Drosophila melanogaster: one gene and its partner. The protein of the gene in region 1 binds, or shares a complex with, the protein of each later gene. Each region holds a gene or a part of one and is shown in the gene's direction. Other genes may lie near its edges.

The links.
Region 2: the proteins of ND-19 (region 1) and ND-B16.6 are in contact, whole or in part, in a cryo-EM structure (PDB 8ESZ), measured with the Drosophila melanogaster proteins. Residues at the interface, in NP_001163296.1 of Drosophila melanogaster: Val2, Ile3, Thr4, Asn5, Asn6, Thr7, Thr8, Leu9, Pro10, Glu11, Glu12, Leu15, Asn16, Val17, Gln18, Glu19, Leu20, Leu27, Arg28, Ala31, Phe32, Leu34, Gly35, Asn42, Phe45, Met46, Arg49, Asp54, Pro55, Arg56; in NP_001284943.1 of Drosophila melanogaster: Arg63, Asp64, Ile66, Glu67, Met68, Ser70, Ala71, Asn73, Val74, Ile75, Phe76, Pro77, Ile78, Val80, Ala81, Glu82, Arg83, Asp84, Arg85, Phe87, Leu88, Arg89, Leu91, Arg92, Arg93, Arg95, Val110, Gly111, Val118, Glu124.

Annotation. Positions count from the first base shown.
Region 1 is NT_033778.4:24,662,191-24,665,994, forward strand, and holds ND-19 (NADH dehydrogenase (ubiquinone) 19 kDa subunit), read left to right. Parts: upstream 1-2,207; 5' UTR 2,208-2,256; exon of another isoform or gene 2,257-2,266; intron 2,267-2,317; exon of another isoform or gene 2,318-2,325; 5' UTR 2,326-2,360; coding exon 2,361-2,489; intron 2,490-2,663; coding exon 2,664-2,839; intron 2,840-2,902; coding exon 2,903-2,993; intron 2,994-3,046; coding exon 3,047-3,178; 3' UTR 3,179-3,249; downstream 3,250-3,804. Other genes in the region: CG3663 (uncharacterized protein), read left to right, coding at 1-158; Cpr60D (cuticular protein 60D), read right to left, coding at 773-1,042, 1,101-1,112; CG30161 (uncharacterized protein), read right to left, coding at 1,384-2,139; CG34214 (uncharacterized protein), read right to left, coding at 3,261-3,648, 3,708-3,766.
Region 2 is NC_004354.4:6,348,506-6,352,585, reverse strand, and holds ND-B16.6 (NADH dehydrogenase (ubiquinone) B16.6 subunit), read left to right. Parts: upstream 1-2,184; 5' UTR 2,185-2,293; intron 2,294-2,347; 5' UTR 2,348-2,358; coding exon 2,359-2,464; intron 2,465-2,531; coding exon 2,532-2,890; 3' UTR 2,891-3,570; downstream 3,571-4,080. Other genes in the region: kdn (knockdown), read right to left, coding at 1,632-1,850; CG3847 (uncharacterized protein), read right to left, coding at 3,939-4,080.

The DNA of each region.
Region 1 (3,804 bases):
GTGTGATCACCACTAGTGAGAGCGTTATCTTCGACTTGGTTCGAGATAAGAACAACCCCAAGTTCGATGTGGTCCGGAAATTGGTGAACCAGCCGTCGGTGGATATGGAACTCACGCGCAACGGGAGCGGAGTGCCAGCGGGCAGTGCCAAGCTGTGAGATAGCCCCTCCTGTCTAAATATCTGTTTGTTATAAAGCCAATTGCATTTATAAAACCATCATGCAGAATTGTGCTTTTCAAGGATACGCGGATGGGAAATGGGCCGAATGGGCCGAATGGGAGCAGCACCCATTTAAGTTGTCATTTCCGTAACATATTCCAATGGCCCCGCACAATGGGCGAGTCCATATTTGAATTTGCCGTTTAACAATAGCCCCAATGGCTTCCCTTCCGGTGAGTTCCCCCACTTTGCCCCATTTCCGCTGGGTTCCTTATTATGCGGATGACAATGCGTATTTTATGCCGCCTGTCGGCATTGATTATAAAGCTGAGTGCTGTTCGGTAACCTTTTATTTGTGCAGCAGTGTGGGATGAGGAAATCATCATCATTCCACATGACCCATTCAGGGGCTCTGTAAGCGCAATGTCTAATTGGACAGACCCTTGGATGAAGATGCTGAAGCGCTCTATGAACTGTAGCCCAACAGCTCTCAATATGAGTTCTACCAGGGGAACGTTTTATTGGAACAACAAGACATTACCTCACCACTCATTTTATGGAAAAAACCGCCGTTTTATAAGTTAAGATTAACATAACATCAAAGTCACTCGGTCACTCTTCAACCTTCGGATGGAAGCCGGTTGCATCTGCGGTGTAAGTCACGCGAATTTGCTTGCCATCTTCGCCGGGAAGGAAGTATTCGCCCTGGATGCCGTTCACATTGCCTTGAGCTTTCACTTGGATCCCATTGCTGACCGTGATCTCATGCTGGAACTGCCCAGCTCCATCCAGGTTCTGGCGGTTCTCCGACTTCAGAAGTTGCGCCTGCAGATCCTCCTCACTGCAGCTGGCCAAAACGACGAAAAGGGCAAAGATAAGGCTCTGAAATTGAGAGGTGGCTGATTATCCAATAGTCTGTTTGAAATCCGATTAAACTCACATATTTCAGCATTTTGGAGCAGCTTCTTGAAATGAAACAATGCCCGTCGGCCTTTTATACTATACTCCGAAGCTGCCTAGCCCACTAAACGGGTTTCAATCGCATCTGCTAATGAAATGACTGAGATTAACCAGACAGCCATGAATATGAAATTTGCGGCTACTCAATCGAGTCTGCTTCTGGCACCAGAAGCAGGCCAGCCTCCCCCAACTAATTGATTGCGATTTTGTTAACCCATTTTGCTACTAAAAGAACATTTAATCATCAACAATGAATTTGAAAACTATGCGCCCGCGGCCTTCGGAAGGATTTCTTGTGCAGGCTTGGAATCCCAGTCTCTATACCTAATTTCTGGATTGCTCAGAATCTTGGCCACACCCTTCAGAAAGCTTGGCTTACTGATAGTGGTTTTTCTCACAGAATCGTTGCTTTTCTTTTCCAAGGCATGCGGTATAAGTGAGGAAAAATTTAGAGATGCCTCGTTAGTAAGTGTCCCATCTGAGGATTCAATTGGCAAGAGAGACATCCCCTTATTTCGCTTGTTGTTGAACTTCTCGAGATATTTCTTGGCACCCAAACGGGCGGATGTCTTTAAAGCATTCATATCCCAGGACACTCCCAGCTTGGATTTGATCTCCTCGGAGGCAGTCTTGTCGTTCGAAGAGAACAGCGTTTGGAACATCTTCTTCAGCTCGAGGTCCTTGGGATCTTGTAGCGATCGGACTGCCCGCGGATCAATCTGCCCAATGGAATTGTCTTGGCTTTTGGTTTCCGCCTCCCGCTTGGAATCCTTGTTCAGCTCAACTAAGTCGTTTAACGACAATTTGGGGTCCAAGTTCCCTTGCAGCTGCTGGAAATCCATTTCGGGCGCATCCTTCGGCAGGTAGCCGCGGCTTTTCAGGTAAACTAGCGGCGACTGCCAGTTGTCGATGAGGTTCTTAACAATGGTGTCAACCGAATTCTCATACTTAACTACTTTTAAATTGCGATCAGCTGCAGCACTATAAAATAGACAGATGTATAAGATTAAAGAAATCATTTTAATTTAAATTGTGAGCCTGTTATCGATGACTTTGTGAAACGGCTACACTATCGATATAAATTGTTATTGACAGCTACGTCTCAGCAGCCCTGGATCTAAATCAGCTGTTGTGTTGTAAGCAAACGTAAAATTAACAAAATCCTACAATTATTTTGTTTTTTATTGAATTTCATAGCCTTTCAGGTTTTTGGTTGATCGCACAGGACTGCAACGCTATTATGGTCATCACCAACAACACAACACTGCCCGAGGAGTCGGAGCTGAACGTCCAGGAGCTAAATCTATCGTCGGCGGCCTTACGGGCAGGCGCCTTCCATTTGGGCAAGCAATGCGAGCAGGCCAATAATGTTAGTACATCCAGATTGCAGGGGAATCCTCCTGATAGTAATGCTTAGGTGAAAAGCGCCTTAAAGTGAAGCTGGGAGCCGCTGCCTCTTTAAAATCCGAGCGGCTTAGTTATATAACCTAACCTCAAAAAGCACCTTCCCCGTTTGTTTACCTTTTCCTTCGTGTAATTTCAGGAGTTTATGCTGTGCCGGCAGGAGCTGGATGACCCGCGAGCCTGTTTGGCGGAGGGCAAAGCCGTGACCAGCTGCGCCCTGGACTTCTTCCGCAAGGTGAAGAAGACCTGCCATGAGGAGTTCACGCAGTACGCCACCTGCCTGGATAAGAGCAGCGGTACTATGGCTTTTTCACAGTAAGCACTCCGTAAATGTTGAATATTCCAATCATGCTATACCAATGTCCATCCATACTTTAGTTGCCGCAAGACCCAGGGAGTGTTCGACAAGTGTATCAAAGATAACTTCGACTGGGATCGTCCCTCCTATGGATACTTCTCGAGGGCCAAGGTAATTTCTCGGCATGCTTTATTTAGACCTCTCCTAATCACTTCTGTTTTCAGGTCATCCAATCAGCTCGGGAAGCACCCAAGAAGGAGGAGAAGGTCTCCTATCCCGATGCCACCCCCGGTTTGCCCGAGGATTACCCCAAGCCGCCAGCAAAGTACGGTTCCCGCTTCCACTGGCTGGAGTAGACAGCTGCCAGCGCCTAGTGAAATTTGAAAGCGTTCATCTTAATATAAACTCTTGTTTCCATTAGTACTCGATATATTTATTTCATCGTATCTTTTTCCTCGACACAGTTTGCTTGATTTTGGCCATAATATCCAGGTACTGGTTGTTCAGGCAGCATCCGCAGTAGCTAACAGGGAAGCAGGCGCTGCCCTCGATACGGCGGAAAAGTGGCGTGTTCTGATAGAAGACCCACGAGATGTTTTCTTCGCCCAGCACCAGCATGATCTTGTCGAAGCGGACGCCCTGCACCTGAAACAGCTCCATGTCGCCGGTGATGATGCGCCACTCTGCGTAGCGTATGTTAGCATCTGGGGGCAGCTTGGAGCGCTCCCTCATCATCACATGCTCGAACCAATCGCGCACTTGGATAATCGATCCGGTGGGAGCGTGCTTTCTGATCTGGTAGCTGATGCGCGGGTACAGAGGATTTCTGCGACAGGAATGAATGAGTTTCTGGCGATCTCTTGGGTATTTATATTAATTGCTTACATGTAAGGAACAAAGGCCAGGCGCACCAGCACAAATTCAACTTTCTCTCGAGGAGCCATCTTGAAGATAATTTTATTTTTATGCGGACGACGCACTT
Region 2 (4,080 bases), on another chromosome or scaffold:
GCTAACTGGAAGGAGGTGGATAGAGATCCCAGGAAAGCATGGGAATTCGATACACTGGTCGAAAAGCAAAGGGGTAATTCGAAAAGTTAAAATGAAGAACTCACCTGTGCCTCGGACAATTTCCGTGCGGAAATGCGATAGAGCGACATGGCAATGCGATTACGTACGGCTGCGAGTAGAAGAAAAACACTTTCGCCTTGGCTAGAAAAAAACACACACACAGAAAAAAATTTGCTTTCCTTTTTCTGGAAGTGAAGTGTTCTTTTCGTGGGTCTCTCGTCTAGCAGCTGCGCGGCAACTGAATGGCGCCAATCGCATTTTCTGCGGGAAGGGGCGGCACGAGCGCAAAGAACACCCGCTAATTCCCACGCAACGGCGTTTTCCGCTCTCCCCCAGAAAGGTCACACTTAAGGTGGGCTGCCTGCTCTGGTACTTGAAAAAAAACGCCCACGCAACTTATTTAATTGAAATAGATGTTATATGCTTTGGATGCATTTTTGCTCTACTAAGATCCATATAAATTGACATTTGCTCGAGTGCAGACTAGTTTTCAATTCCAATTTTAAAAAAGTCTATTAGCTATCCCAGTCGACACCCCCCATTTCCATGCATTTTAAACCGCTCCCTGACATTGTCTGTTTGCTATAGAGTATAAATACTGTCGTGTGAGGGAAATATCTTTTTATTGCGGGAAAATCAAACACCGACTTTTGTAAAAAATAATCATATTTCAACTGAAGTTTTATAATAAAGCTTTGCCGAAAAAGGCCACAGATCAATAAAAAGTTCGATATTCACGAAGACGTTTATCATCATAACTTTGTTAAAACTTGTCGTACAGTTTACAATTTAGTAGTTTTAATTACTTAGTTTTAGTAGTTTTTTTACTTTTAGTAGCGAATTCGCAGTGCTAGGATTCCTACCACTTTTTGAAGGATTTAGGGAAATTAATTTTTGGGTCAATTTTTTTTTTGTAAGGGGTAACATCATCAAAATTTGCAAAAATTGGCCAAAAAATAGAATTCCTATTTTTTGATACAGTTCGACAGGGAATTTAAATACGAGCTCGACGAGGTATTGCATTCCGTATTCAGACAATTATTTTTAAAGTTATGGCAAAAAAAAACTGATTCTTTTATGACGGAAAATCGAAAAAAATTATTTTTGCAAAAATTACAAAATTATAGATGGGCATTTTAATCATAACTTGACTAAAAGTGATCACAAAGCGAAAAGAATAACTGTTTTGAGCAGCTAATTGCGAAGGCTAACCATCCCAATCACTTTTTGACCGATTTGGAAAAACTAATTTTTTGGTAATTTTTCGCATTTTTTGTAAGGGGTAACATCATCAAAATTTGCGAAAAATGGTCAAAAAATAGAATTTCCATTTGTGGATACAGTTTGATAGGGAATTTAAATACGAGCTCAACGAGATATGGAACTCCATATTTGGACAAATATTTTTAAAGTTGTGGCCAAAAAACTGATTCATTTTTGAACGAAATTTGGAAAAACAGATCTTGGCAAATATTAAATAAAATTTGTTTATGGTCATATGGTCTTGGTCACCTTTCTCGCTGTTATGGAAAAATCAGATGAAGGGAGATTTATATTAAAAGAAAACTCACTTGGGCATCCTGCATATCAGGCATGTTCAAGGTTTCCGGAGTCGCCGATTGTTGCTGCTCCTTGAGATTGCCAGTCACGTTATCCTTTTTGGAACGCATTCGGAATGAACTTGGAGTCCCAATGGACTTCGAGTCCCACATAGAATTTTTAGCCAAATAACGTCGTTGAAAGGCAAAATGATGGCCCAAAGAGCCATTTCCGAAACGGCGTACGAACATTACTACTTTTAGCTGTAAATATATACGATATTTCGAAGTTTCTAGTTCGCTTTTTCTCTTGTTTTTGGGAATGTGAAAGCTAGTGATGTAGGATACAAAAATTTATTTTGACAGGAAAGCGATTGCGATAAATATAGGGATGGTATCAAACAGTTCGGAATACTGTATATACTGTAATACCGTATAAACGTTTGCACGTTCTACTGTGACTTGTTGTTGTGATTGTCTTTCGATAATAATATAATATAAATCAAATAAATTGACTCAACTTTTCACGTTAGAAAATATTTTTCAACTTCGTTTGCAGTATTCGCCACTTTTTGGTATATTTTCGTCACTACTTGGTATTTTACCCTGCCCCAAGTCAGGCCACACTGCCTTGGTGTTATGCAAAAAACGTCATTTTTTTGACAATTCAACAGATTTTTTCCCTTTATTCGAGCGTAAGTCCCAGTTTACCGGCCAAACAGCCGACTGATATATACTTTGTACCACAGGAGGAGTCACCATGGCGACGGCAGTGCCGCATTGTCCCCCGAAACAGGACCTTCCACCGCCGGGCGGCTACAAGAAGATACCCTTTGCCCGCGTGCCACCGAAGAGCTACTTCACAGGTGAGCTCCTCCAAATCCCATTGATCTAACCATATATGTGCTGGTAACTATATCAATCCCTCGGCAGGCTTCACCACCATCGGCACCTATGTGGTTGTGACAGCCGTTGGCCTGGGCATCTACTACTTGACCGCCAAGAAGGTGAAGCGCGACGAGATCGAGATGCGTTCCGCCCAGAATGTCATCTTTCCCATTTTGGTCGCCGAGCGGGATCGCGAATTCCTGCGCCAGTTGCGACGCAATCGGGACGAGGAGGCCGAGCTGATGAAGAACGTGCCCGGCTGGGAGGTGGGCACCTGGTATGGTGAGCCCGTTTTCAAGACCCTGCCCGAGGATACCCTGGTCACGCCCATTTTCAAGGAGTTCTACGCCCACTCCGACTGGAAGTCGTACGCCAAGCGTGCCCACTTGAAGCTCTGGTCCTAAATCGGCCTAGTTAATGGATTAGTTAATGCCTAAGCACGCACCTTTTTGTTTGTAGATCATCCGCCTAAGCGCCAAAAAAAGAAAGTATCGACCAATTATAATGTCAGATCAGATTGGCTGAAATACCGATTCTCTTTGTGTGTGTTTAATCCAAATCCTGTGCTGGACCACCCGAGGTAGCCAGAGATTTTTACCAAACCGGGGGCGTTGCCGTCCAGCTGCAATATAGCCCACGGGCAGTGCTCAAAAATGGCCAAATTAGATGGATTTGGTGGCACCAACAGCGGGGAATCCCAGTTGGCTGTGTCACCAAATTAAAATCTAATTGAAAATCTGCTGCTTAGTAAAAATAATAAATTCACAACATAAAACACTACGAAATGCTTATGATTCAATAGGGATTATTAAAATAGCAATGAAGAAATCTTGAGCCATTGAAAAACATTCTTGATTTATTTTATTTTTATTTTTTATTGAATTCAACATCGATTTGACGCTCGTTTTGTGTGTCAGTATTTGGAGTTTCGGGTTATTACACAATAGCGGGTGATCGTGAGCTCTAACATTAAGTAGTCGTAATTATAAGTAAGTAATATATATCTATACATGGGCCATGATCGACATCCGTCGACATGCTTTTATCTTCAATTGTAAACCGCAGAGTTGGCCTGAAATCATATAAAAAAAAAAACAACTGTGTGTGTGGATTTGTGTACAACTAGGTAAAAGATAAACCCTTTCCTTTGGAATCGCTTGACGACAGTGGCCCCCGTTGTGGCTCCCAAAAAATACAATATGGGTGTGGACTTATGTTTGCGTGTAGATAAACAGCAGCTGCTCCTTTCTCCTGGCCCGGGCGGCTAGTGTCCGAGTTTTGCATGGGCGAATCATTAGAAACTAGCTCGTGCTCCAGCTAATCCTACTGCTCCTAATCTACGTACTCCTGCTTGATAACAACGTAACGCACTGGCGGCGGCGATTTCTGCTCATCACGCTCCGGCTCCAGCTGCTGCCGACGCCGCCAGTGCTCATCACGTTGTGGCCGCCTCTACTTCATGTCCCTTCGACGCTTGATGCTGCCATCGCAGGTGGGCAGATGGCGCTGTAGGAAGCCCTCGAAAACGAACTTGCGGCCGCAACGTACGCAGCTGAACTCGCGCTTCTCCTCCACCTGCTGCTTGTGCTGCCGC